7 linked regions of the Oryctolagus cuniculus genome follow. The protein of the gene in region 3 interacts with the protein of the main gene of each other region in a pairwise test. Links are inferred from orthologs where the notes say so. Each region holds a gene or a part of one and is shown on either strand. Other genes may lie near its edges. The genes, in order: ATXN1L, QKI, RBFOX2, PSMF1, MAGED1, HMGA1 and heterogeneous nuclear ribonucleoprotein F.

Region 1 (4,190 bases), on a different chromosome or scaffold from region 3:
TTCCACCCAAGCCTGGCTCACCTCTTGTCCTCCTTTGCCTGATATCTCCAGGTCCTCAAGGACCTGGGTGTCAGTAAGGCCTGAGGTTTTCTTGTCTTTTTTTTTTTTTTTTCCAAAGCCTTGCTCCCTAAACATGCTATGAAACATAGTATCTTCTTTGCCCCATGAAATACTGCATTCTAACTTGGGCAAAATGGGAAGAGTGATTATACTAGTTTAGTCTACAACTTGTTTCTCCTCCTCCCCAAGTAGCAACAAAACTGTTATGACTTCACATAGACTTCCCTTCCCCTGGTCTAACAAAAATTATTTTCTTCTCACTGAACACCTTCAATCTGCCTTCTTTATTCACTCCCTTTGTTCCTCTGTGTTCTCTTTTGCCAATGGCTCCTTTTCCATTGCAGACCTGCTCTAGGGCCCACTTCATAAAATTCTGGTTCCACTCCTCCAAATATGCCTGTTTCTTTCTATCCTAGGTCTATAGGTTTCATAACAAAGTTCTCTTGCCTTCCTCTTACTGTCACCTTTCACAAACGCTTCTATCCACTATCCAAAAGCATCTTTTTGGTCTGAACACTTCAATGCACATGAACTTTGTCACCTAATTATTCCAATCAGGCTCCCATTCTTTGGCTTTGAAAAGAGCTTTCTGTGATACTACATTCTGTTGTTTTTCCATTGTGGCATCCCAGATGTTTTTCTGCAACAAGGAATCCAAAGTGCCTGGATTACCTGAGCTCCCCCTGGTGCTTCTGAGCAGCTGTAATGAGTGTCCTCCCGGGTGGCTTGGGAGCCTAGAAGACGAAAGAGAGATGGAATAAGCAGAAGCCTGACCTCTGAGCCTCTCCAGCGTCATCACTGAAAGGTCATTCCAATGCCACAAAGACATGAAAGTCACAATGAGCTCTCCTCTCATCCTCTTCTCCAGAGGTAGCAACAATTTATCCAGAGAGCCAGGGCAGCTGAATAGAAAAAAGGCCATCTCATAAACTCTAATGACGTCTCTGGGAAAAAAATGCCCATCTGTCAAACCTCACTGTTTTCCCTTAACATTATATTCTTTATTCCCTGCTTGTGCCTACTATCCGAAGGTTAAATTTACTTCCAATCCAAAGTTCAGTTAAACGCAGGAGACTTAACATTGTTCCAATGTTAACAATGGGCAGCAAGGAAAACCAATTCCACGGACTTTACCTTTACTCGGGATCTATAAAAACAGATTTGATGGTTATTTAACTGAGAAAAGATGCACCAGTAGAAAAAGAATTTTGTTTCTGGGGCAGAAAAAGAGGTCAAGGGGGAGTCACTCAAGGGGAAAGCCTTATTAACAAATTTTCAGATTTTTAAAAAATGGGCTCGTGTGTGTGTGTGTGTAAATTTTCTGTGTGACAACGTTACACCAAGTGATGAATCAGGTGTGATGGAAACTGAAAACATCACCTTGATCCTCATGCAGCTAACAAGGGGGAAACAAAACTACCACTGAGCTACCCATCTGTGAATGCACACTCGCCAGAAAAGGTACAGCACTGAAGCCCGCGGAACAGAGAAAGCAGTACAGATGAATTCTCAGAAACTACCCACTGTCCTGTCCAGCTGCTACAGAACCCTGCAAGCCTCGACCCAAACGGAAGGCAACATTTCTGTCTAAAGACTGGCACGGCGCTGGCATACAAAAGAGTGGCAAGATGGGGAACCATGGGAGAGAACCAAATCCCCAATCCCACAATACACCGTGGGCACAAGTCATGCACCCTTCTCTGCCGGCAGCTTCAGTAACTGAAGAGCACTTCGCTTTTTCCCATCTTTTCCCCATACAAACTGGGGTCACATCTTTAAATCTCAGAATGACCCTTGCTCTCTCCAACTAAAACGTTCAAGAAAACCTGCTTTTAGGTCACGAGGGGTTAGCAAGCACAAATTTTAAAAAATGAGAGGCAAAAGGTTTGCGGGAAGGATAAATAAAAAGTCTGTGCGCCGGGGCTGCACGACGCAGGACACATTTCAGAATCTGAAACCTTGGCCTCTGATGGCTCAAAGGATTTCTCAAGGGGAAGACAAGCTTGTCACCCCGACTGAGCTACCGGGCAAGGAGGACCGTTCCGCAGGGCTGCCAAAGCAGTTAGGAGAGCTGGGAACGAAGCCCCTCATCACGCTTTTTGGAAATCCAGAGGCTGAACCCAGCCAGAGTCCCGAATTCGCAGAGGGCAAGAGGTGAGCCCGACAGAATGGGAGAAGCTTGGAAGAAACGAGGGGATATGTCTTCCCGCGATCCCGCAATCCATGCTCCAACACGAGTAGGGCACCAGATCGGGAATTCTGCGTTTACAGAGTGGAGGTCGACCCTTCAAGCAAGGTTGCAGGGGCGAGGCCACGCAGGCGACGCTTCCTTGTTTGGCGGCCCCCTTCCCGCCCCGCAGACTCGGACAACTCTGGCCCGCGGAGGTACAGCCGGGGGGGCTCCGCCTTCCAGGCTGTGCCGTAGAGAAGCGGGCGGGGGTCTAGGCGCGGCCTCTTCGCTAACTCTGTCCGCTGTGCTCGGCCCCGGCCCGGTGAGGCAACGGGCTGCTAGGGGCCACTTCCTCTGGAGCTCCGAACCTAGGCCTGCCTGACCTCAGGGAGGCCAGCCTGGCGGCCACCACTCCTGGCGACACTCACCGGCCCATCTCACAGCGCTCCCAGGGCTCCTCCCGCTCGTCCCGGAGCCGCCGCACCCGCGGCCGCCGCCATCCCCGGCCCCGGAGCCGCCCCACACCCAGCGCCCCCCCCAGCCGGGCGCCCGGAGATGGCGTCAGCGCGTCCCGCCCCCGGCGCAGAAAAATTACGTCACGGCGCGGGCCAGAGAGCGACGCAGTGGTCTCCCGGCAGGGTGGGGTGGGTACCGCTGTTCAATCGCACATCGCTGCTACTCTCCCATCTGGTGGGAAAACAGATTCCAACCCCTGGGACCTGTGAATAGGGCTGTGCTCTGACCCCACTCCCTGACCCCACAATAACCCCGCGATCTTTACACCCCAGTAAATACTGGGGGGTTCCCAAAAACAACGACTGGGGCGTGGCCATCAGTGACCCCCATTTCCTGGACTTTCGGTCCTGCCTAGTGAAGCCTCCCCTTGGGAACCTCGGGGAATCCCTGAGTGACCCAGTCCAGGAAAGCGAGGCGATCCCAGACTTGAACGTTTGTGAGGAGTAAGAAGAATGGGGTTAGTACAGTGGGAAATAACTTGACTGAGTGGGAAGGTTTGACTACTCGACGAAATCTTAGATTCCCATTCATTCCGAAGTAGTAGATTTCATAGTAACATGAGCCTATCACTTAAATGAAAACGAAAGTGGTTGTATTTGTGTTTGGATTACTGCTGTAATTTTTTAAGTAGCTATTAATATTTTCTGAAAACGAACTAAGAAATTTTTGACTATTGGAGAGACAAACTCTGTTCAATAGATAACAATTAATCTTTGTTCAATTTTATAATTAGTGGCGGAGGCAGGCGTTGTGACCCAGGCACCTGCATCCCATATTAAAATTCCAGTTTGGCTCCTGGCTGCGTTGCTTCTGACCCAACTTTCAGCTAATGCATCCCAGGAAGCAGCAGGTGGTGGCTCAAGTGCAAGGCCCCCAGCCAACCACTTGGGGGACCTGGATGGAGTTCCTGGCTCGTGGCCTTGGTCTGGTCCAGTACTGGCTGTTGTGGGCATTTGAGGGAATGAACTAACAGATGGAAGCGCTCTCTCTCTCTCTCTCCCTCTCAATCTCTGTGTTGCTCTACCTTTCAACTAGATGAGAATAAACAAACGTTTAAACAAACAAAATACTGCTGGGGAAAAAAAAAGTACTGGCTAGTTTCTGGTCCCTAATATGTGGCTATCTGCATTTTTACCACATTAAGCCTCAGTTTCCACTACTGCAAAAAGAATAGGAGTAAGATCTAGATAGAAGAACTTATCATCTTGTTAAGGGAAAACAAAAGCCAATATTGTGAATCATTTATTTAATGTTAAAAGAGTTGCATATATTTATGTATATGTAAATAAATAGATATACAAGAGGGGAAGATACATAACTAGTTATCCTTTCTTCATTAAAAAAAAATCCCAAATTGGAAGACGTTCAAAAACAACTTAAGTTATTGTTTGAATTTTTATAAGAATAATATCTTAGATATTTAAAAATTAGTAAGATACAAATA
Region 2 (4,166 bases), on a different chromosome or scaffold from region 3:
TACAGGAAGCAGCTTATTCCACACTGAGGAATAGCCCCTCTTCCTGCAGGTTTGTACTGATCTGATAAAACAATCAAGTTTCCTGACATCATGCCGTCTGTTCTGAACACCCCCACTACCACACAGCAGCACCCTTTCCCCGGGCAGTCGGAATGGCTGAAACTAGTCAGCGAGCTGGAGTAAGCCACATTAAAGGGCAAACAAACAGTTCTTTAGAACATCATCAACTAAACTAGGGATTTTCTACTCTCCAAACTCAAAACAGTTACGATTACCAACCAGAAAAAAAACAAATCTTTTAGAGATAGTGACGACAGAAATTTCTCGGTTTGAAAGATTAATTACTACTAAGGCCAAAGGTTAGAAATTTAACAGGAATCCAACTCCAAATTATTTAGCGATTTTAGATCAGTGAAAAGGCACAAGTAGGAAACTTTTTTAGTACTAGTCAAACTCAAACTACTTAGCCTTTAAATAGTACACATGAGGTAAAAATATTTCCAATTTTATAATTTCCTAATGCTGTTTGAAGGAATTCAACTTTCAAAAACGCAATTTTAATCAACTCAAAATACTGTCAAGGCCTATTTTCATTTTAACACCTACTACGTAGATTCCTTCTTAACAAATGCATTTAAGAAACACTATCTTTGGAAATTACTACTAACACTACTATAACTTTACCAAAATACTCCAAGGAGAAAATTAAGAAAGTCCTATCCCGGAACCATGATAGTTATGTCAATAATTTTAAACAAAATGCATTCCATATGTGTAGACATTCATGGACAGAATTACATAAAACGATAATACGGAATTTAAGTTTCAACTAAATTTAACGCAGGTCAGACCTGACTGTATTTTTGCTCCAAACATTTCCTTGGTTAGAAATAAATAATAACTGGCGCCCCTTAGCGCTCACAGTCGGAAATACTCGATTTGAGAGTTCCTGCATTTTTTGTGTGTGTGTGACATTCCAGAAAGTTTTCTGCCTCCACAATCTTTCAAATGCCAACACAACCAGGAGAGGCAGGGCCCCTTAAAGGGACAGACAGCGGGCTTTCCCGAGCGAGCCGGCGAGCAGACCTCGGCCCCGGCCGCGGCCAGGTCCCGCCCCGGTGCGCGGGGACCCCGGTGCGCGGGGACCCCGGTGTGCGGGGACCCCGGCGCCGGCGGCCCGAGCGGCCCGCGCTCCTGCGCGCGCGTCCCTCCTCACGCAGACATTTCCGGCCTTTTGTTCCCGACTGACATTCCAGCTGCGGGCCCCGGCCCCGGCCCCCGGCTCTATTTTTAACATCTCCAAGTTCTCTTGAAAATCCCGAAACCTATTGTTCCTCCCCGGCACAGCCGACAGCGTTCCGCTTCTTCACACAGTTCTCCGGGATGCTCGCAGAAAACGCACTCCTCGCCACGGCATTCCCGGACTTTGCGCGGGTCCCACGGGCTCCGCGGGGCGGCCGAGCCCCTCGGCGCGCCGCACGGCCGGCCGGCGGCCACCTGCTCGCCGAGCTCCGGGCCCCGCAAACTTTTGCCCGGCTGCTCCCCGGCCCTGCGCGGCGCCCCGACTCCCCGGCCGAGGCGGCGCGGGCGGCCGGGCCCGGCTCGGGACTCCGCTCCCATCTGTCATCGCGGGACTTGGCGCTCCACCCCCCAAAAGTGTAGTCGAACTCCCTAACAGTTCTCGCTTCCCCCAAACAAAAGGACGGGAGCGCTCCCGCTGTCATTCGGGCCGCTGCCCCCCCCGTACTCACACGGCCACCCAAACTCCAGACGCACGGGGACCCCGCGCGGCCCGCCCGTCCGCGGAGCCCACCCAAGCCTCCCGAGGCCGGGGTGCGCCCCGCGGGCGGGCACGGGGAGACGCGAGGCCGAGCGGGCGGGCCAGGGACACGCGAGCCCGCCCGGCTGGCGGCGCGGCCCGGGCTGGCTCTCGGGGAGGGTCGGGGAGGCCCCCGGGCCTGCGCAGCCCCACTCCGCTTTTCGGAAACGGGACCCCCAAAGCCACAGGAGCCTCTCCCAGCGCTCCACCGCGCGCGCCGCCGGCAGCGGGGTGGGGGAGAGGAGTCCCGGCCCAGCGGGGGGCGTCCTGCCCGGCGGGTGCGCCCGGCCCCGGCCCGCCCGCCGCGAGCCCGGCCCGGCCCGGTCCTCCTTTGTGCGCCTTCCCCGGCTTCCCGTCCCCCGGGCGCGCGGTCCCGCCCGGCCGTGACCTTCCCGCCCTCGCCACCATCCCGAGCCGGGAAGAGGGGTCGCCCGGCGGGGCCGGGGCCGGGGCCGGGGCGGCGGCTCACCTTCGTCCAGCAGCCGCTCGAGGTGGTTGAAGATCCCGCAGAAGTTGGGCAGGCTGCTCATGAGCTTCTTGTCGTTCATCAGCTGCATCAGGTAATCTGGGGTGGGCTTCGGCTTCTCCTTCGTTTCCATTTCCCCAACCATATTCCAGGCTCCGCAGCTCACTCCGCCCGCCGCCGCCGCCGCCGCCGCCGCCGCCGGAGAGGAGGGAGGGGCGGGGGCGAGCCCCGGCCGCCGGCCGCTCGGGACTCGGCGTCCCGCTCCGCGCCGGCTCCCGCTCTGGCTCCCGCGCCGAGCCCCGGGGCGGCCGGCTCCGCGCGCCCGCCCGCCCCCCGCAGGCACTTTCCGCCCGGGCCCGACGCGCTCCCGGCCGCCGCCCGGCTCGGCGCGTCCCTCCCGAGGCCGGCGGGCGGGAGGCGGGTCTCGGCGGGCCGAGTGCGGCCGCGGAGGAGCCGGGCCGCCGCCGCCGCCGCCGCTCGCTCGCTCGCTCGCTCGTCCGCGGGGCCGGTCGCGCCCGCTCAGCGCCGCCGCCGCTGTGCCGCGGGCTCGGGGGCTCTCTGGGCTGGTCCCCGCCGAGGCGCCTCTGCCGCTGCCGCCGCGCTCTGACTGCGCTCCTCCTCTTCCTCCTCCTCCTCCTTCTCCTCCTCCTCCTCCTCACTCACTTGGCGGCGGAGTTCGCCTCAGTTCAGGCGGCGCTGCCGGCGGCGGCGGCGGCGGCGGCGGGGGGAGGGGCGGCGGCGCGGGGAGGGCCGGGGGCGGGCGGCGGGCGGGGCCGCGCAGGGCGGCCGTTAGCGGGGCCCGGCCGGCGCGCTCCCGCCTCCCGCCGCCGCCGCCGCCGCCGCCCCTCGGCCCGGGCCGCGGCCGTGCTGCCGCCCTCTCGCGTCCCTCGGCGGGACGGGGCCCGAGGGGCCGCGCGCGGGCCTGGACGCCGGGACGGGGTGGCCGCCCGGTGCGGGCGCGACCACGGGAGGGGCGGGTGCGGGGCTGCCGGGTGGGAGGGGCCGGGTGGCGGGATCCGCGGCCGCCGCTGCGGGCCCGGGCGCGGCCGGCGAGAGGAATCCCGGCGGGACGCGCCACGACGCGCCGGGGCCGCCCGTTACTGTAGTTTTTTCAAACCAGTCTCTGAGCCTCCCCCAGCCGCCACCCCCACCCCCCCCCCAGAAGAGAAATCTTTCTAACGTCCTGTTGCTTCACGGGGGACTTTGGGGTGGGCGTCACGTGGCCCGACACGTAGCTGTGAGGCTGCAGCGCGCGTGCGCGCGTCGAGCCCGGCGTCCACGCCCCTCCCGGGGGTCGCTCCGCCCCCGCCGAGCTCGGCGGGCGCGCGGCGGGGGAGGGGAGGCCCGGAGCGCGCCTGCGTGGGGGCGGGGCCGGGCGCGGGGTCTCCGGGCGTGCGGGGGGCGTCCCGGTGCCCCACCGGCGGCCGTCGGGCGCGCGCGGGCCGCGGTCTGAGCGCCGCCGAGACCCTCGGGTCTCTGGTGGGAACGCAGCCGGGAACGTCCCAGCCCCCGGTGCCGCGCTGCCCCGGCCTCAGCCGCCGGCGGAGCCACGCGTGACCACTGCCGTCGTCGGCTTCGTCCTCTGCGCCCCTCGCGATTTGCTGGGACGGAACCCCGAGAATGCGCGGGGCCCGGGGAGCGGCGCCGGGGGCCTGGGCCGGGGGCGGCGGTCCCGACGGGTCGGTGATGTCCGGCCGCTCGGAGCCCGTCAGCGGGGCTCGTCCGGGGCGGCCGCCGCGGAGTCCGGGGGCGCCCGGTTCGGCCGCTGAGCCTGCGGACCGTGTCCGCTCAGCTCGCGGTGCAGACCCGGCTTGGCGGCTGGGAGAGCCCCGCGGAGCTCGCCGCGTCTGAACCCCGAACGCGGGGTTCTCACCCTCCAAT
Region 3 (3,986 bases):
CATAAATCTCAAAAAAAAAAAAAAAAAGAAAAAAGAAACCTGACAGGCATGCAACAGCTGTTCAATAAAGATTAGTTACAAGAGTAAAGGAACACTGAATTTATAGACACACACACACACAGTTTCTTTCACCAATTTGTCTCCACACCTTAACTGTGCGTACCTTAAGGACAGGGAATCTGACTTACATGTTTCCAGAAATCACCTTGTACAAATACTTTATTGCACAAGCAGGGAAACAAAAGCCCCAAAATAAGAGGTTTCCCTAAACCCATACAGCAGTCTGGCAGAATCAATGACCGGAACACCGGCGTGCCACGGTGTGCCAGACCTCCAACCTGCCAATGTATAAAGTGAGAAGAGTATTCTCCGTGCCAGTTCCAGGTTGCCCATCTGCACCCACACTCATCCACGCCTTCCTCTGCACACCCCCACCCCGCGAAGTCCCCAGACGCTGCTCTATACCCAAATACCACTGCTCTTGGTTTGAAGGCAACAAGCAAATAATGGACCCCAGGTCCAACCGTGCCAACTACGACTGAACACACACACACACACAGAGCACAGGCACACACTAACAGCACCTCGCCCAGTCTTCCCTCCTTCCATCCAGTGGCAACCCACCCGCACCTGAAGTCTCCTGGTATGCCTCTCTATTTTCCATGGCCATGAGTTTTACTCCTCCTTGCCAGAGTTCTAATGGAGAATGGAAGCAGGCAAAGAAAAGAATTCAAAAATAAACAGCAAGAGGGTCACGTTACCCAAACCAACATTGGTAACAGGACAGACTCCACAACGGACAGGGAGAGGTGCAGGGCACGCACACCGGGCTTAAGCAGAGCTCGGGCTCCAACACAGGAAGTCAGGCAGAGCCTCGCCGAGCAGGGAGGGAGCACAGGAAGTCTTCTAGCACAGCAGAGATTTCCAAGAGTTGGTGGAATGGAGACAGCCCAGGAACAGGAATCAGAAGGCCACACTGCTGGTTCTAGACTCCCGGCCGCTACTGGGCGAGAGGCAGGCAGATGGTCGTCCTGGGACTGCGACTCCCCCTCTATAAAACGAGGTAGTTAAAAACATGCAGGGGCTTCAATACCCACCAAAAAAAAAAAACCACTGATTCTCCTCCAGCAAAAAGTGCATATCAACTATTCTGCTTAAAAATCTTCCAAGTCTATCCAGGTTAACAGCCCCTGGAAAAGATGTCACCTCTGGTCCCTCTCCTCCTAACGTTCTATGATTCCAAGAGAATCAGATGTCAAAATAACGGGTGGCAGGCCAGTCCCACTCACCTGTTCATAGCAAGCATGCCCGAACAGAGACCAAATCCTAAAACCTACCAAACTCAGCTGGCGCCATCCACACCTCTCCCACTCACGACTCAAATCGGCCCGCTTATCCTTGGGTCCACAAGCCAGAATCCAGGCTTCTAAGAAGCCCATAAATTCCCTTTGATACCCCAGGACAATGAAGAGAGAGCTATACGGTGCCCTAACCATGTTAAGTACAGGAGAGACCTGTCCCGTGTCTCTCTTCAAACTCAACCGCACGAGCCGCAAAGTGAAGAGGCTGAGCACCCCAGTGCCCACGCCACCCCGCGGTCTCCCCGCGCCTCCCACTCACTGGGGAACTGATTGAACCCACAACCCAAGCCACATCCCCTTTGGGCTCTCTCGAGGAGTTTCTTCGCTTTTCGCTTCTCTCGTCCACACGCCGCTCCCCTACCCCAGCCCAGGGTGTGCGAGGGCCGCCAAAAAGGCACTCCTCCTCCTCGAGAGGCTCCCACCACGGCCCCCTCGCCCCCCACTCAGCCCCGCGGCTCTCCGGGCCAACCCCACACCCAGGACTTCCCAGCTTCCACTCCACCCTCGGAAGCCAAGGCAGGGTTTGAAGACGTGGACTCCAACCCGCCCAGGGTCGACTCCCCCCAAAAGCCTCATCGACGCAGGACCCTCCCGAGCACCCCGGGATCCTGCCGTACCCGAGCTCGCCCCAGCTTCCAAGAAGGCCCCGGCCCGCCCCTGCCCACCTCCCCCCGGGACCCCGCGGAGCCCTCCCCCTCTCCAAGCCCCGGAGCCCGGGCCGCCCCCCCCGCCAGGCACGTTCCGCACCCCCGCGATAACGGGGCGCCCCGAGCCGCGCGGTCACCTGCATCCCGCCGCCGCCGTCGGCCGCCGCCTCCTCGGTGCGCGGCCGCTTGCTCAGGCCGGGTTCGGCTCCGTCTCCTCCCGCTCCGGGCACCGGCAGCTCCAGCTCCGACTCCCGCTTCATGCCCCGGGCAGTGGCGCCGGGCCCGAGCTGAGACGGCTGCTGCGGCTGGGCGCCTTCCGCCATCCGCCCGCGCCCCCCTCGCCTCCGGGAGCCGGGCGACCTGCGACAGGCCACCTCCCCCTGGGCCTCGGCCCCGACTGTCGCGACAGGCGGGTGCGCGCCTGCCCCCGCCCCCCGCGTGCGTGCGTGCGTGCGCGCGCGCGGGCCCGGCGCCCCTCCGCGGCTGGCTCGCGCCCGCCGCTCCTCGGGGTCGTCGGCGTGGGGCCGCCGGCGGCTCGCGACGGGCCCTCGCTCGCGCCCCGGCACGCACACGCGACGCCCGGCCGGCCCGCCGCGCCGCGCCGCCTCTGGCGCCCCCGGAGCTCGGCCGCTGGCCCGCGCTCGGCCGCTCGCACTCTCCCTCACCGCACGCCGGCCGAGGGAGGAAGGGGGCGGTCCGGCTCCCGAGGCGTGGGGAGGGCTGTTTATTTGGGGGGGGGAGAGGAGGGGCGCGAGGCTGGGACGAGCTGACTGGCCGGGATCCTCCGACCCGCCACTGTGGCAGCGCCGGGAAGGCGGGGAGAGAGAAAGAGGGAAGGAGGGACCGGGATGGACGACTCCCGCCCGCGCGGGAGGCTGAGGCGAGGGGGCGGCGGCGGCGGCGGCGGCGGCGGCGAGCCCGCCGAAGGGGCGTGGCCAGCGCCCCTCGGCAATCTCCGCGGCCTCCGCGCCCGCCGCCCGAGGGAGGCCGGGAAGAGCTCGGGGACACTCGGGAATCTCCGGCCCCGGCGCGGGATCGGCCTGGAGGCGCGGCGCGGCGGGGGCGGGGCCTGCCGCCTCTGGGGGCGGGGCGTCGGCCTGGGGCAGGCCTGAGGGCTGGGAAGCAGCTCCGGTTTGCTGGACTAGTTGTTCGGAGTTGTGTCCTCGGTTCGCTTGTCCAGCCGCCTTCTTTCTGCTTAGGGGTGGGGCCTCCCATAGAAGAATGGGATCTCGAGTCTAGGGTCGGAGCCGCTCCTGCGTGGCGCTCTGCAATTCTGAGAGCTTCCGCTCTAATCGTAATTATTATATCGCTGGTGATCTTAATTATCTCCGATGCGTGTAAGAGCTCTAAGGTTTGCATAGTGCGTGCACACCCGTTTTGAGGCTGGTGGGTAGATGGAGACCGTGGTCTCCAAGGTGGCAGATCCAGATCGCAGGCCGCCGGGTCATATTCGCGATTCACTTTCTTAGCACCTTGCGGCATGAATGGCACTTCATTGCTTATCAACTTTGTGTGGCTGGAGATGTGTACAATGAGTTTTCTCTCTCACCCCATGATGTGCCCTGTAGATGAAGTCCCAGGAATAAAATGATGTGTGTATGACCTAGATGCTAGCCTTGGACTTGCTATCTAGTTTACACAAGTTACTTCATCCCTTTGAACCTCAGCTCGATCATTTGTAAAATTCGGCAATTTTTATGATTGATTGATTGATTTGAAAGGCACAGTGACAGAGAGAGCTTCCCTCCACTGGTTCACTCCCCCAAGTGGCCACAGTAGCCAGGGCTGGGCCAGGACAAAGCCAGGAGACCTGGGTCTCCCACATGGATAGCAGGGGTCCAAATACTTGGGCCACCATCTGCTGCTTTCCCAGCACATTAATAGGGAGCTCAGAAGCAGAGCAGCAGGGACTCAAACCAAATATGGGATGCTGGCGTCACTAGCAGCTTAACCAGCCCTGCCACAATGCCAGTCCCAG
Region 4 (3,500 bases), about 86 Mb from region 3:
TATTTAACTGCTGACACATAGTCAAGAACAAGCTCTTGGGACCTTCTTCCCCTCTTATCACCCCCAGAAGGGTGGGGAGCAGGAGGTAGCTGGAGGCAACACAAACATCCTCTGAACCTGGCACACACTACCGGTCTCAGCCCAGTGTGCTGGCCCCAGGCTAGAAAATTAAACCTGCTCTTTAATAAACTAACAGCAACGATGCCTCTCCAACAGCTTCTGCTCCAAACGAGAGCAGACGTGGCAGAATGGAGAGATCAGCGCAACTGAGCCTCGTGGTGCTTGAGAAAAGGCCAAACGCAGCAAAACTACACCACAGTCTAGTCTGTCACCTAAACACCCATGGGGGGATGGGGGACAGTAGGCGAGGCCTTCCAAAACCCCCATCCCCCAGGCTCCTTGGCCTCCCCAAAGTTGTCACATCTTTTTCTGGCCTGCGGAGCCCCACAGCACATAGTACCAGGAAAAGAGAATTACATGGACCTTTGGGAATTGGTCAAGGATATTTATTTTCAGGAAAACAATATTAAAAACGAGATTATATTCTTTCTGCACATTTTACCTACAATTCTGGGGGCCTGGGGTGGAGGGCAAGAGGAAGATGACAACTGGAAAGAAGCACTCTCCTGTGTGAACAAACCCATTTATATAAACTGTCAAAGTGAGATGGGTGCTGAGGAAATGCGAGGGGATGGGCGGCGGGGGCGGGCCTGCAGCACTGATGCGTACCTGTGGCAGGTACTTCTACACAGTCCCCGGAGGAGGGCCTGGGGTTCTGAGAGTGTGGCAGAGTGGAAGCAGCCAGCTGGGCGTGAGGAAGGAGTAAGGTCTCTGGAGAGGGCTAAGGGCAGGGCAGACCTATTTCTTCTGATGGACAGGGCAAAGGGCAGGGGGAGCCAAGGACCGATGGGGAACATCAAAGTCAAAACCAAGTCACTCTACAACCCCAGCGCCCCGTGCACCAGCCTCCACACTAGCTCTCTGGGAGAACTTTCCGGGGCCAGTGAAAGGGCTGGCAAAGATCAGAAAGCCAGAGTGGGGCAAGTAGAGACGGTGTTTGTGTTGGGGAACCAGGCGTGAAGGGGAGCCTGACACTTGGGGGAGGGGGCTGTCTCCAGCTGGTCCCAACGTCTAAGATGCTGAAAGGCACGGTGAGTGGAAAAAAGTGCAGTGTGATGGGACAGAGCAGGGATGGGTGCGTTTGGGAAGAGACGGCTTCTGCTCTGTGTGTGAGAGTGAGGCCGGCCCTTCTCTTCCAGTCTCATCTCCAGTCTTAGAGCCCGCGTGAGGACGGGGTCTGTGTGAACCTGGAAGTGGGCATGGGGATGCTGAGTGTGTCCCAGGGGCCCCAGTGAGAGACCTGAGGCCTGAAAACCAGGAGCCAGAAAGGCACGCCGGTTGTTGATTCTCGCTGATGGAGGCAAGGCAGGAGTGGGTATAGTAGTTTTAGGCTTTGGTCACAAGGGGTAGAGAAGAATGGGGACAGCACTGGCAGGGGTTAGGAGCATAAGCTGGCTAAGTGTGCACAATGCATAAAGCCAGTTGGAGGGAACCCTAAAGCTGTGTCAGCAGAGGAAAATTAGTTAGACTGTGACGAGAATCTGAGAAACTACAAAAGGATTAGAGGACTCCAGAACTAAAGTTAGAAATGAAAGGAAGGAAGAAATCCCACCACAAGATCTAAGGTGTGGGGTGGCCTGCTCCTCAGAGTCGCTCCTGGGTGCGACAGGGACAGGACCCTGACAGGGAGGGGCGGGCCTGGGGCTCTCAGTGCCCAGAGCTGCTTAGGAGAGGAGTGAGTGGAGTGTGGCTGCAGGCCTTCCAGATGGAGGAGCCAGGAAATGACAAGGCAGAAGGGGCCAGGCCTCCGGCTTTGAAGAGGCAGAAGGGGCTGGCCATGTTGGGAGGCACTCTTACCCAATTCTCACACCAAGGGGTGTGTGTGTGTGGAGGGGTTTCCCTGAGGCAGAGGCTGAGCTGCAGGGGGCAGTGGCAAGTGGACGGGCCTGGGTCCTTCAGCAAAGGATGAAGGGCGGGTGCGCACTCTGGGCCCCTGCCCAGGGGTGCAGAAAGGGCAAAGCTCACGCCCGTACTTGTGCTTGGATCCGGATGCCTGGCGCGGGCCAGTACTGGGTGTGCTGTCCCACGCGCCCCACCTCGCAGCTCCGTGGTAAGGAGTTCACAGAGGGGAGCAGGTGGGTGAGAAGAACCCTGGGGGGCGGCCCCTCTGTCTCGGTGCGAGGCCCGTACACTCCAGGTCTGGGAGACTGCCGGGCTGTGCTGAAACGAGTTGCTGTCCTTCAGTTTACAAATCAATGTCGCACCAGCTGTTAGGAGGGGCGCCGGGCTGGGCTGGCACAGCTTTGCCATGCCCCGGGGAGGGGGGAGGTCAGGGGCTCTGGATCGGGCCCTGGGCCTCCGGACAGAGGACGGCTCCCACTCCACCCCGGCGGGCTCCGCGGCGTACCTGGTCGCTGGCACCCACGCCGTAGTAGCCGTGGGTCACCACCTCCCAGTGCAGGAAACAGATGAGCGCGTCCTGTGTGCAGGTGATGACCGGCGCCACCGAGGCGAATAGTACTTCCAAGCCCGCCATGAGCGTCCGCAGCTTCTGCGGGGAGAGGAGGGAACGGGGAGAGTGCAGTGAGTTGGCGTGGCCCCGCGACGAGCTCTACCTCGGCTCCGCTTTTCCGTAGCTCTGCCCGGGACTCCACCAGCGCCAAAATGGAGACGCCCAGGGGTGGGACGCAGCTGCCGGAAGTAACTGCAAGCGCCGGCGCAGCGGCGCAAGGCGCGCCGGACGGGAAACGCTAGCGCGATGCTGAATGGTTCCTCCAGGGAGCGCGCGTGCAGGAAGCGGCGCTTCAAAGCCAGAGTCTCCTGAGCCCCTCCACAGCCCTCAGGGTCTGCTACAGCCATGGCGTTGCGACCCTGAGGAGGGAACGCTTCCCTGTGAGTCACAGTCTCCCTATCCGCAAATGGGGGAGTGCTCGAGTGCAGAAGAAGCTAGAGAATATGGCCCAGGAATAGTCGCAGTAACTGTTAGCTCGTGTGCCGTGCCGTGCCTAGACGCTTTACTTGTGTTCACTTACTGAACAATCCTAGGTAGTTGGTATTAGTGTTATAATCATCTCACAGACGAGGAAGCCGAGGCACAGAGGGACCATTTGACCGAAGCAACGCAGCCGTCCAGCGAGTGGCCTGGATGGTTCTGGAAACCCACAGTCTGGCTCCTGGGATAACCTTTATAAGTGTTTATTGTGAGCTGCATCCTGTACCAAAACCTTTGCATAGCTCCTTCAACAACTATGCGAGGGAGTTCCATTTTTTCCATCAGCCCGTTTGGCAGATGACAAAGGGTTGAAGCCGCTTCTCCCAGAAGCCTTGGCTCTGCCCTCAGAGCCAAAACTCCTGACCCACTACCGAATTTCAGTCATTTCTTTGCCTCTCTCCTTCGTGATTTCTATCATTTCTTGAAGTCCGGTCAGTGCTTTTACTCA
Region 5 (3,496 bases), on a different chromosome or scaffold from region 3:
TCACAGAACAGACTTTGGCACCTACTCTTGCTTCCAACCTGAAGTTTTTTCATTTTCCACAGTAAAATCAACAGTCCAGAATCCCAGGCCCCTGACCCTTCATTCTCCAGGAACAGCCATCTCTCCTCTTCAACTATCCATTCCTTACACCTTATCACATGTAGTTAGTTCTACCTCCTCTGTCTTGTCTTAAATCAAGCCTTCTGACCACCTAGACATCCCTTCATTTTATGATTTCTCTCAGTGTTACTTCAGGACATTCAGCAACATATCTATCATATGATTCACTTAAATGATGCTCACTGAAAAACTACACTAATTTGTAGGCCTTATTAACACTTCATTAATTCCTCTTTTTTTCCCCAATCCATTAGCTTGATCTACCCACATCTCTGCTGAAATCTGATCCACCCTTCAGGCTATAACTAAGGTTCCACCTCTCTCATTAAATATGCTGATCTCTCCCCAAACACAGAAAGAAAAAGGGGGAGCACATCTAATTCACTTTGCAATTTCAATGTTTATTTCTGATACCAAAACTTGACAGCACACAAGGAAAAAAAGCAATAGACAAGGAACAGCAAATAAATTTATCTTGCATGCCACTTTCAGTCAACAGGATGTGGCTCTCTAGATAGCTGTGTTTTAGAAGGAATCTGAGACTTCAGCCTCAATTCAGGGGAAAGACTATTGCAACCGATGAGCAATATCTGTGAATATAAGAAAGAAAAAGTGGAAAAATCAATGATATGTATCTCAAATAATAAGGAATATAAATGCCAAATAGTGCTGCCCTACAATTCCCTCATTTCCTCATCACAAATTTCCTGACTCCTAGCTCATGCACATAATTATAACCCCCAAGGACTCTATCAATTCAAAAAGAGAAATACCTACCAAACAGTTTATTCAACCCAGAAGAATCCAATGGCACCAAAATTGGCAGCAAAGTTGGCACTGGCTGTGCCACCAGGACCAATGATGGGGCCAGCAAAGGTTTGAGGAAATCTGGAGCGGGCATTCTGGTGGTATCTGGCCCAGAAAGTAAATGGAATCCTGGACCAGGGATCTCCAAAATCTCCTTCCTCATCCCAGGTCAGCAGCTCAAATTCAATGTCATCCCAGCTCCAGGGCCCAGATACAGCTTCATCTCCAATCCCCATGCGGGTTCTTGCTTCAGCCCGGGCTTCGGCCTCAGCTGCAGCAGCATCCAAAGCATCCAAGGCCTCATCTGCGGCCTCCATAAACTGTGCAGTCCAGTCACGAGGGTCTCTTTTCTGAACCTGAGATGAGGAACAGAAAACAGAATCACACCTATTTACAATGACTAAGATACAGAATCAACCTAAGCGTCCATCAATGGATGACTTGATAATGAAGGTGTATATTTAAAAGATAATACTATACAGCCTTTAAAAGGAAGAAATCCTGCTATTTGTGGCAGCATGGATGAACCTAGAGGCCATTATGTTAAAGTGAAATAAGATACAAAAAGGCAAATACTGCACGATCTCACTTATAGGTAGAATCTGAAAGAACCGAACTCTTAAAAGCACAAAGTGTAACAGTCACCAGAGATTGTGGAGGTGGGGAGACTGGAAGAAGGAGACACTGGTTAAAACATGCAAAATTTAACTTAGGATGAATAATGTCTAACACATGATTACTATAGTTAATGACAATGTATTGCATACTTGAAAATTGCTGAGTACATTTTAAATCTTGTCATCATAAAAATGCTAAGTATGTGATCTGGACAGCTAATCAGCTTCATTTAATCATTACATAATGTACACATATTACATACACATACTCCATAATCTATAAAAATTACCAAAATACCACCTTGTATTCCAAAAATGTTAAATTTGATTAAGTGAAAAAAAACAAAAAAACACTTAAAGATAATGTTGTACATTATATACATTATGTCAACAAAACTGTAATAAAGTTGGAAAATTAATGAATAAAAATATTAAAAATCCAACCCTTAACAGTATTAGTTAATATATACGAGGGTATTTAAAAATGCTCATGAAAAAATGGAATTAAGAGGTAAGTTTAGGGGGCAGCATTGTGGTGTAGCAGGTAAAGTTGCTGCCTGCAATGCCAGCATCCCATATGGCTGCTTATTCAAGATCCAGATGCTGGACTTCCAATCTAGCTCCCTGCTAATGTGCCTGGGAAAGCAGTGAAAGACAGTCCAAGTGCTTGAGCCCCTGCACCCACATGGGAGACCTGGAAGAAGCTCTTGACTCCTGGCTTCAGCCTGGCCCAGCCCTGGCCACTGCAGCCATTTGGGGAGTGAACCAGTGGATGGAAAATCTCTCTGTCTCTTCCTCTCTCTGTGTGTAACTCTGACTTTCAAACAAAAAAAAAGAGAAAGATAAGTTTAGGTGCTGGCATTCTGGCACAGCAGGTTAAGCCACCACTTGTGATGCCAGTATCTGATATCAGAGTGCTGATTTGAGTCCAATCCAGCTCCCTGCTAACGTGCCTGGAAGACAATAAAGATGGTCCAAGTTCCTGGGCCCCTGCCACCCTTGTAGAAGACCTGGATGGAGTTCCTGGCTCCTAGTGTCAGCCTAGCCCAGGTCTCACTGTTGCAGCTCTTAGGATAATGAACCAGCAGACAGGAAATATTCTCTCTCTCTCTCTCTCCCCCTTTCTGTCACTCTACCTTTCAAATAAAGTCTTTTAAAAAGAGAGTGATAACTTTAGGGGCAAAAGCTGTGGCTTAGTGAGTTAAGCCATCACTTAGGAAGCCCTGAACCAACTTTCTGCTAATGCATCCTGGAAGCAGCAGATGATGGTTCAAGTGTATGGGCTCCAGACACCCACATAAGAGAGTCAGACGCGGCTTCTGGCTTCCAGCCTTGGCATGACCCAGCCCTGGCTGTTGTGGGCATTAAGGGAGTGAACCAGTAGATGGAAGATCTCTCTTTTTTTCACTCTGTCTTTCAAGTACATGGAAATAATAAATAAAGAAGCATTTTTAAAGAGAGGTAAGTTAATTTTGGTAAAAATTTTTTAAATCCAGTTTTTCTGTAATTCTCATTTTTCATGAACTTTTTGAAGATCCCTCGTTATACATGGTATTCAAAACCTTTCTGCACCAAAACAAACATATTTTAATTCCATCTTCCACCCATTTTTGAAATACCATTGTATTAAGCACCTAATACATATTAAGCCCCCTATTTTTTGTTATTGCTTATATAAAAACAACAATAAATTATCACCAGTAATGCAGCACCTACCATGTGCCATACGAGGATCTCATTCCTGTTCTTGGCCTCTCCCAACCACTGATACCTCATCTCTTGACCTATCAATTCTAGAGCAGTTCCTCCATTACCTCTGCAATGAATCTCAGCACTTTCATCTTGCTAGTCTCATGATAGGAACGGAGGCCCCAGAGGAACTCATACTCAGGAGGGTTGCTGTTGGGCACTCGTCTGTAGTCCAGGTATCTGAAAGAGCACAAAATGTCTTT
Region 6 (4,013 bases), on a different chromosome or scaffold from region 3:
GTTCGGAAGGGACCAGGGAAGATGAGACGGTGGCAGCTGCAGCAGCCACACACAGCGACTCTGTGTGCATCTGGCGGGGCTCAAGCCTCAAGGACCACCACTCACACAGCCAGGGCTGGTGCCCACCCACCAGGTCTCTGCCCTGTCCCAGGGGAAATCCTTGAGGACTCCAAAGATGGGGACAACTGAGGGAGGAAGATGGTGGAGCCTGCAGCGGGCGGGGTGCGAGGAAAGCCTGCTGGGGGTCTGATTAGCACCCCCCTCCCCCCGCACACACCACGATGAGTTCACCTATCCCTCCTGGAGCAGGCAGCATGGGCCAGCCCGGTCAGCAGCCCCAAGTGGACCTGGAAGCCTGCAGCCACCACCCCCTGCCTGCCCCGCCCCTCCGTCTGTGAAATGCAGGCAATGCTAAGACACCTGTCTCCACTGCCTCCCCACACGGCTTTGGGGCTCCAACTCAGAACAGTTTATAAAAAAACTGAAGCCTCAGAAACCTTCTATCGGTAAATGACTTCTCTTCCTCCTTTGAGAGATTCTGAGGCAATTTCCAATTTTAACCCAGGAAAGAAAAAACATTTTTGCAAACTTGCGATTTTTTTTGAGGACCCAAGGCCCCCACCCCTCAAGCACAGAGCCCCTCCAGACGGCGGGACTTTGTCTGGTAATTACCCTATTTTATATCTCAGACTGGGAGACCCTTGCAAACAAGGTGGTTGATTTAGCCTGCTCCGTCATTAGTGGCTTGGCCTGCTCTGTAATTACAGCCAGTGATTAGAATCTTATATTACACCACAGGCCCCCTTCAAACTAAACATCAAAATTAATCAGCTAAATGAGTGCTGACCTCACATAAGGTCTGCCCAGGGCCCCCTCGCAGGGGGGGTTCCAGTTGGGCGAAGCTGGCCCGGAGTCCCCCGAACCTCTGATGGCATGGGGTGGGTGCCTGCCTCCCCCCTACCCCACCCGGCCAGGCCCCCACGAAGTCCTGAGGCTCTCTCTAGGGAGGCCAAGAAACGTTGGTCTCTATGCCACCTGTTCGCGAACATCAACGAGGCCTGGCCTGGAGCAGCCACGTTTCGGGGCCAACCCCAATCCCTCAGCTTGTAGGAAGCCCACTCGGGTCCCAGGCTCCTCCAGCGCTTAAAGGCCCTGCAGGAATGACCCCAGTACCTCATCTTAGCAGTCCCTTTTATTCTGCATAAAGGAAAAAATAAAAAAGTAGCCCAGAGAAGCCTGATGAGTTTTCCAAGGTCACACAGCAAACTGGCGACCCTCCCAGCCCACCGGTGTGCTCTCCCAGCTAGCGGCTGGTGAAGACCCTGTCGGCCCTTGCTCCAGACCCAGGCGGCGTCTGCAAGTGCCTGCGCCGGGCCGTTGTGGGCAGACCGGCGGGAGTCGGGGCCAGAGCGCGAGGGGGAGGGGCGCAGGCCGTCCCTGCAGGCGCGGGAAACGAGCGCACCCCGGCCGCATGCACCGCCACGCGGGTGCACCCGGCCCCACTTCCTGCCAGAGGGGGCACCCAAGCCCGCCCCGGGGCAGGAGACCTGGCGCGCGCTGGCGGGGGACAGGAAGAAAGCCCCCTCTCTGCGCCCGCCCCGCCAAATAAAACCCCAGGAAAACAGAAACGGGGAGTCCAGGGGACTAGTTCCAACAGAGCCCAGCAAAGCAGAGAAACCAGTTTGTGGGGGCGGAGGGCAGGCCCGGCCCTGGGGGCTGAGGAGGCGCAGCTCGGGCCAGAGGTGGGGTCGGGGTGAAGCCCCAAATCCAGGCCGGGCAGCCGGCTCGTCCCGCGCAGGGGGCGAGAGCCCAATCTCGGGGTTCCCGCCCATCCCCCTCACTTCCAGAACTTCGTGCGGCTGCGGGGGGCGTCCGAGCCCCCGCACGCCCGCCGCAGCCCGGCCTCCTCCCCGCCCCCCACCCCCGGCCCCGGCGGGAGCGGCCGCCGCGCGAGGTGCACCGGGCTCCGCCGGGTGCACAACTCGCGCTCGCCGCAGCCGCGCGCCCCCTCCCCCACCGCGCGCTTGCCTTCCCAGGGTCCCCGCCCCCCCCCCGCAGGGCGCCCGCGGCGCGGGGGAAGGGGTGCGGGCGTCCTCCCCGCGCCGCCGGGCCCCGCCGCCCGCCCCCGCGCCGCGCGGCCCTCCCCCGCCGCCGGCTCGCGCCGCCCCGGCCTGGGAATAAAGCCGGCGGCGCGCGCTGCAGCCCCGGGCGGGGGCGCGGGCGCCCCCCTCGGCCGCCGCCGCCGCGGGCCGCGGGGACGACTCACCGCGAGCTCGGCCGCCGGCCTGCGGTGCGCGCTCCGGGGCTGCCGGGAGCGACGGTGCTGGGCGCTGAGGACCGGCCTGGCTCCGCCGCCGCCGCTGGTAGCAAATGCGGATCTGAAACCGGGAGAGAGGGCAGAGGCGCTCAGAGCCCGCCGCCGCCGCGTGCTCGCCGCCCAGGCCCCCGCGGGGTATTTATATGTCACATCCAGCCGGGGGTGGGGGGGTGGGCAGGAGTCTCCCCCCTCCCCCGAAGGATGGCGAGGGGCAGGAAGCCGGGCACGGCCCGTGCGCGGCCTCAATAAATAAATAATTTAATTAAATTATAGATATATTTAAAAAAAAAAAAAAAGCAGCCACCGGAGCGGCCGCGAACTCACGCCTTCTTGGAGCCGCGCCAGCGCCAGAAATAGCCCCGGCTCGGAGTCCCAATTAGAGGAGCGCAGCCCCGGCTCAGGGGAGCTTAAAAAGAGCGACCCAGGGGCAGGGGGGACGGGCCCGCCCGCGCCAGCCGTGTCACCGGGGGGCGGGGCCATGCAAATGAGCCCGGGGATTTAAAAGGGCGGCCGCCCGCCAGCCGCCGCCGCCGCCGCCGCGCGGGTGGGTGCTAGGCTGCTGTGGGGGTGCGCCCAGTCACGATCCACTCCCCACAGTCCTAGGGGGAGCAGGGCGCCGAGCAATCTCGAAGGGGCTTCTGGCGTCGGGGCGGGGGGCGGGGGCGTCCTCACCGTCTGGAACCGGAGTCCCGGGACAGTCACCTCTAGGGGCGCTCCGGGCGTGTGCGCCCCGCCGTGGGGGGTGTGGGTGGGCCTTCGTGCCCGCGGGGGTCCACGCGGCCGGAGTGGGGCAGAGAAACGCGGGTGTGGGAGACTTCCGCGGCCTACGCGCCGCCCCTTTCCCTTACACCGACGGCCTGCGGATTTCTCCAGGCCGACAGGTGTGTCAGCATGTGCGTTTCAGTGACATCCCGCGCGTGACTGGCGGGTGGGGTACCGTCTTGTGAAATGCAAGGTGTTTAGATTTTGTTAACGGCCACACGCGAAGCATGACCAAGGTCCAGCCTTCGAGCGAGACACAACTGGCTCGCTCGCGGGCTGGACCCGAGCGGGGCGTCACTCCCTTTGGCGCCCTCCGGCCGTTTTGGAAGCACGCGGTCCCGCAGTGGCCCCCAGATTTCTCATCTGCCGTGGTTTAAAAAAAAAAAAAACAACAACAACAAAGGGTTGGGCCGGCGACGCCTGGAAGCGCTTTGCGGGCAGGGTCTGAGCTGACGCGCGCCGTCCGGGCCCGCCGCGCCGGGCTCCACCGGGACTTGTTGCGCTGAACGAGGAGGAAGCCAGAGCGGGAAGATGGCGGTGGGGGAAGAGAGGGCAGGGTCGGAGAGGGGAGGCGCGCCCTGCAGGCCGGGCCGCGGCCCTGTCGGGCGCACCTCCCGCGCCCGGTCCCCGAGGCGGCCTTCCACACCTCCTGTGAGGCAGGGAATTGTAATGCGGCCCAGTGACACACGGCAGTGACTCATGTTTTTCTTTGCTCCCCTTCTTCCTCCCTGGTCAGCGAGGCCCAGGCCCAGCCCCCTCCTCAGGGGGCGCGCGGAGGGGCGGGGGCGGGGGTGGGGGGGCGCGAGGAAAACCCGGAGCCCGCAGTGGGGGCGGGGTGGGGAGCCCGAGGGGCCGGGCCTCCAAGTTTCAGGAATGTTTCAGGAATGTTTCCGGTGGGGGAGGGGGCCGGCCCCCACCCCGGGGCCGCGGGGGG
Region 7 (4,143 bases), on a different chromosome or scaffold from region 3:
ATGTTTCTCTTTGAATTAGGGATCTAGCACCTTTGAGTTTTCCAAAAAAGTACATCTCCCCAAGGTGTTCACTGTGGTGTGGTGTAAAAGATCCACAATTTAACATACTTAAACTACTTTAACTCAGATAACATCACTCGGAAGGATACTACTAAAATGTTAATCGAGAAAAGCGGAAAATAGTTTTAGTTTACTCAATATCACATGCTAGAAGAAAAGTTTGCATGAGAAAACATTGAAGAGGTAATTTTTTAATCCAGATTTCACAAACTCATGGTGCAAAATGGGTCCCACAGCTTCCTCTAGGGTAATAACTGCTTTTTCACTGCTTGCTGGCTGCCTCTGAAAATTTGATTGAAATTAACTCAAATGCTTCTACAAAACTAATCATATCCACCCATGCTGTTCTGACCACTATAGCCAGCGCCATAACAACCGCTCACTGACTGGCTCTCCAGGCCACTGTAGGTGGCCTGAGCCGCAGACACCCCCATGCCCTGCATCACCTGGCTGCTGTAGGCCCCGTTGCTGGCCCCTGTGGTGGAATTCAAGAAGAGTTCTATGTATCTGTGCTGCATATTGGCCCTATCTTTCGACATCGCTGCCCCAGCTTCTTCATGGGTGGCAAACTCCACATCAGCTTCGCCCGTCACTCTTCCATCTGGGCCGATCTCAATATGCACTCTCACCGCGTTAAGTGGAGAGAAGAAGTTGTAGATGTCGTTCTCGGTCGCTTTGTATGGCAGCCCTCTCATGTGGACGCAGTGGCCGGTGGTGCTCTGCACTGCGAACTCGCTGTCTCCGTATCTGTGGTCGTACATTCCTGAGAGGCAGTAGCTGAGGTCTCTTCCGAACAGATCAGTGGTGAAGCCGTAGCCATCGCTGAGGCCACTGTACTCCTCATAGCCCCCGTAGCCAGCGCTGCAGGCACCAGGCCGCATTCTCTCCAAGCCTGCCTGCTTCACAATGCCAATATACCTCCGGGCTGTGCCAGGCCTGTCATAGGGCCCGGGTCGCTGAACAGACATGAACTTCAGAGGAGGATCTGAGTATGACCTCACTTCTTCCTGACTGCTCTTAAATACCTCAATATATCTGTGCCCTATTCTCTCCTTGTGCTTCCCTAGCGCCTTCTCTGCTAGCTCCTGAGAGGCAAACTGCACGAAGGCCTCCCCTGTAATCTTGCCCTCGGGGTCCACAGGCAAAGTGATCCCGTTTGGCACGATTTCCAACCCTGAGAAAAACTGAACAATTTCTTCCTTTGTGCATCCAAACGGGAGTCCTCGAAGCCGCACGAAACCATCATTAGCGGTGTCAGCGCTGTTTGGACCACTGTGCTTCAACACCCAATCCATCTCGGTTCTGTGAGACTTGAACACCTCAATGTACCAGTGCCCCATGCTTTCCCTGTCTTTTTTCAGGGCCATTTTGACATCATCTTCTGATTCAAGTTCGACAAATGCCTCACCACTCTGCCTGCCTTCTCTAGTGTAGATAAAATGAACGCCTGCGGCCCCATCATGAATCGTGCAGTCGGACAGGAAGTTCTGCACGTCCTCAATAGAGCAGGACCAGGGCAGGCCACGGAGCTTGACCACAAAGCCTTCACCTCCCTCGGGACCCAGCATCATGGACACTTGACAGGATAGATGTCAGACAAACTTGGGTGCAAGTTGTCTTTTTATGGCTTAGAGTATCGCCAAGGATACCTTCAGTAGGAGACACCTCTGGTAGGTAACCAACTGTCCACTGAGGAGAGCTGGCCTGGTTTCTATTTGCAAGAGCGGCTTCCAGCGAAGGACCCCAGATCCCACCCGAGCTTAGACGCGCAGAGGGCTCCAGGCAAACTCCAGGTGCATCTTTTTGTTCTTAACCTTCTTCAGGAAGACGCGGCGCAATCCTGCTTCCACGACGGAATAAATCATTTTTAAAAATGAAAGATGTTGACACACTCAACTTCATTTATTAACCTGTTATAAGCCTATGAACTCATCTACACATTTTTTTTTTTTTTTTGACAGGCAGAGTGGATAGTGAGAGAGAGAGACAGAGAGAAAGGTCTTCCTTTGCCGTTGGTTCACCCTCCAATGGCCGCCGCGGCTGGCGCGCTGCGGCCAGCGCACCACGCTGATCCGATGGCAGGAGCCAGGAGCCAGTGCTTTTCCTGGTCTCCCATGGGGTGCAGGGCCCAAGCACTTGGGCCATCCTCCACTGCACTCCCTGGCCACAGCAGAGAGCTGGCCTGGAAGAGGGGCAACCGGGACAGAATCCGGCGCCCCGCCCGGGACTAGAACCTGGTGTGCCAGCGCCGCCAGGCGGAGGATTAGCCTAGTGAGCCGCGGTGCCGGCTCATCTACACATTTCTGAAAGCTATTTATAGTTAAAGCTATTCTAACTTTTATAGTACTAAGTTCCAAAAGTGTTATTTTTCTCTTGTTGTCTTGAGCAAGTTATTTAAATTTAATGGGCCACAGTTTCCTCCTCTGTAAGATAGGAATCATAATCATAATGCTATAATGAGGACTGAATTAAAGGAGATACACCAAAACAGTACTTGGCACATTGTAAAATATTCAATAAAGGTTAACTATAATTTTTATTGCAGCAGGTAGAACTCTGCATTTATTTGATCTGCAAATATCCCCCTGCTTCATTTGAACAACGTGATGTGTGTGAATTGCCTACTGTCGCTCCCCGTCTTCGTGGAGGAACGACACAGGACCCTGCGCTGTTCTTTCGTCTGCTCGGCCCTCCCCGGGTTTGCTGCTGGTTCTTCCCGGGTTGGCTACCGACCCTTCCACCTCCGTGGAAGGGCGGTTCCCCCTGCCACTTTCCCCACTTCAGCGGGGGAGCGGCACACCGCCGGCCGGCCGGCTCTCTCGGGGGCTGCTCAGGTGTTCCTTCAGATAGATGTTCCTGGTGCATGTTGTCTCTCTCCTCCTTTATAGTCCTCTTCCACCAATCCCAACTCTGCTACCCACACGCCGAGTACGCTGCTCTCCTCCAATCAGGAGCAGGTCCTACAGTTTATTGGTTGAACTGGAGGCAGCTGTGTAGAAGCTGTTTCCCTTCTCAGCGCCATATTGTGGGAGAGCAGATGCATAGAATAAGTCTTAATTCCAGTAACTTAGTCTAGTCCGAGTTGCTCCCAGTTGCTCCCCACACCTACCACTGTGCCTAACTCAGAGGGCATTAAATTAAAATGGTATTTAATAAGCTGGTTATGTTCTTTATATATATATATATAGTTACCTCCTGATTACGTAGGTATCCATTTCACCTTACAAAAGCCATTCATTTGGTCCTATCTCAACAAGTCAAGTCTGAAACAGGACCTTTCATACTCATTTCTGGTCTACAGAATTAACTAGTGTCTGTATCACGTGTGATAAAAATGATCTCATAAAAGTTCAGAAATTTTTCTAAGGTTATTCACCAAATAACTAAGTCACAAGAGTTAAAAAGTATTGAATTATTTTTATAGTAGTAAAATGATAAAAAGATGAAAGTACAATGGAAGGCCTACTCTAAATGTTAAAGTAAGTGATAGTGATTATGAGTGAAATGCAAAGAAAGGCTTAGCTCAGCAAGTAGAATAAATTATTTTGACAAGCAGGTCAATCAAATAAGGTCATCAGTTGTCAAATGGCGTACTATAATCATCAGGTACCTTTATGAAAACAGATGTATTTATAGACAAAAATTAAGGTCCTTTTTAAAGCAAGAAATACAAGAGATTTCAAGAATTTGCAACCTTTTCATCTGGACACTATTAATGACTTCATCAAACTAAACAAATACAGAAAGTTTAATAAAAAGATGTTAATGAAATTTTCTACTAAAACTATGATATGGACTTGTTTGGTAAAATAAAGCAAGCTGCATATATTGCTATTTTTGTATCCTCCTAGTTGAAATATATTATTCACTCATTTAAACCTATGTATACATTTTCATAATAGATCACCCTAGACATCACAACTGAACCATAAACATTCACTATTTATCCTGGATCACAAGGAGCTGGCAAAGTAGCATTCATTTACAAACTAAGGTAAACTTCGAAACATTGTAAGCTTGAAGATTTCTTACACAAATTATTTATAAGTATATATTTATCATATAGTATCCATATAATTATGC

Evidence for each region.
Region 1: the proteins of RBFOX2 (region 3) and ATXN1L interact in binary tests that used the Homo sapiens proteins (3 or more experiments, as listed by UniProt). The link is inferred for Oryctolagus cuniculus from reciprocal best matches to the Homo sapiens genes RBFOX2 and ATXN1L.
Region 2: the proteins of RBFOX2 (region 3) and QKI interact in binary tests that used the Homo sapiens proteins (3 or more experiments, as listed by UniProt). The link is inferred for Oryctolagus cuniculus from reciprocal best matches to the Homo sapiens genes RBFOX2 and QKI.
Region 4: the proteins of RBFOX2 (region 3) and PSMF1 interact in a two-hybrid assay, tested with the Homo sapiens proteins (2 studies listed by BioGRID and IntAct). The two-hybrid records come from large-scale screens. The link is inferred for Oryctolagus cuniculus from reciprocal best matches to the Homo sapiens genes RBFOX2 and PSMF1.
Region 5: the proteins of RBFOX2 (region 3) and MAGED1 interact in binary tests that used the Homo sapiens proteins (3 or more experiments, as listed by UniProt). The two-hybrid records come from large-scale screens. The link is inferred for Oryctolagus cuniculus from reciprocal best matches to the Homo sapiens genes RBFOX2 and MAGED1.
Region 6: the proteins of RBFOX2 (region 3) and HMGA1 interact in a two-hybrid assay, tested with the Homo sapiens proteins (2 studies listed by BioGRID and IntAct, with this or other methods). The link is inferred for Oryctolagus cuniculus from reciprocal best matches to the Homo sapiens genes RBFOX2 and HMGA1.
Region 7: the proteins of RBFOX2 (region 3) and heterogeneous nuclear ribonucleoprotein F interact in binary tests that used the Homo sapiens proteins (3 or more experiments, as listed by UniProt). The link is inferred for Oryctolagus cuniculus from reciprocal best matches to the Homo sapiens genes RBFOX2 and HNRNPF.

Annotation. Positions count from the first base shown.
Region 1 is NC_091449.1:55,391,938-55,396,127, forward strand, and holds the start of ATXN1L (ataxin-1-like), read right to left. Parts: upstream 2,801-4,190; 5' UTR 2,659-2,800; intron 795-2,658; 5' UTR 733-794; intron 1-732. UniProt on the Homo sapiens protein: Chromatin-binding factor that repress Notch signaling in the absence of Notch intracellular domain by acting as a CBF1 corepressor. Binds to the HEY promoter and might assist, along with NCOR2, RBPJ-mediated repression.
Region 2 is NC_091436.1:5,326,196-5,330,361, forward strand, and holds the start of QKI (KH domain-containing RNA-binding protein QKI), read right to left. Parts: upstream 2,801-4,166; 5' UTR 2,431-2,800; coding exon 2,289-2,430; intron 1-2,288. UniProt on the Homo sapiens protein: RNA reader protein, which recognizes and binds specific RNAs, thereby regulating RNA metabolic processes, such as pre-mRNA splicing, circular RNA (circRNA) formation, mRNA export, mRNA stability and/or translation.
Region 3 is NC_091442.1:113,493,836-113,497,821, forward strand, and holds the start of RBFOX2 (RNA binding protein fox-1 homolog 2), read right to left. Parts: upstream 2,801-3,986; 5' UTR 2,332-2,800; coding exon 2,146-2,331; intron 1-2,145. UniProt on the Homo sapiens protein: RNA-binding protein that regulates alternative splicing events by binding to 5'-UGCAUGU-3' elements. Prevents binding of U2AF2 to the 3'-splice site.
Region 4 is NC_091442.1:27,071,565-27,075,064, reverse strand, and holds part of PSMF1 (proteasome inhibitor PI31 subunit), read right to left. Parts: intron 2,953-3,500; exon of another isoform or gene 2,612-2,952; 5' UTR 2,597-2,611; coding exon 2,468-2,596; intron 1-2,467. UniProt on the Homo sapiens protein: Plays an important role in control of proteasome function. Inhibits the hydrolysis of protein and peptide substrates by the 20S proteasome. Also inhibits the activation of the proteasome by the proteasome regulatory proteins PA700 and PA28.
Region 5 is NC_091453.1:36,330,556-36,334,051, reverse strand, and holds the end of MAGED1 (melanoma-associated antigen D1), read right to left. Parts: intron 3,474-3,496; coding exon 3,359-3,473; intron 1,284-3,358; coding exon 906-1,283; 3' UTR 898-905; intron 711-897; 3' UTR 501-710; downstream 1-500. UniProt on the Homo sapiens protein: Involved in the apoptotic response after nerve growth factor (NGF) binding in neuronal cells. Inhibits cell cycle progression, and facilitates NGFR-mediated apoptosis. May act as a regulator of the function of DLX family members.
Region 6 is NC_091436.1:135,099,464-135,103,476, forward strand, and holds the start of HMGA1 (high mobility group protein HMG-I/HMG-Y), read right to left. Parts: upstream 2,801-4,013; 5' UTR 2,642-2,800; intron 2,379-2,641; 5' UTR 2,267-2,378; intron 1-2,266. UniProt on the Homo sapiens protein: HMG-I/Y bind preferentially to the minor groove of A+T rich regions in double-stranded DNA. It is suggested that these proteins could function in nucleosome phasing and in the 3'-end processing of mRNA transcripts.
Region 7 is NC_091446.1:59,592,951-59,597,093, forward strand, and holds the start of heterogeneous nuclear ribonucleoprotein F, read right to left. Parts: upstream 2,801-4,143; 5' UTR 1,632-2,800; coding exon 384-1,631; 3' UTR 1-383.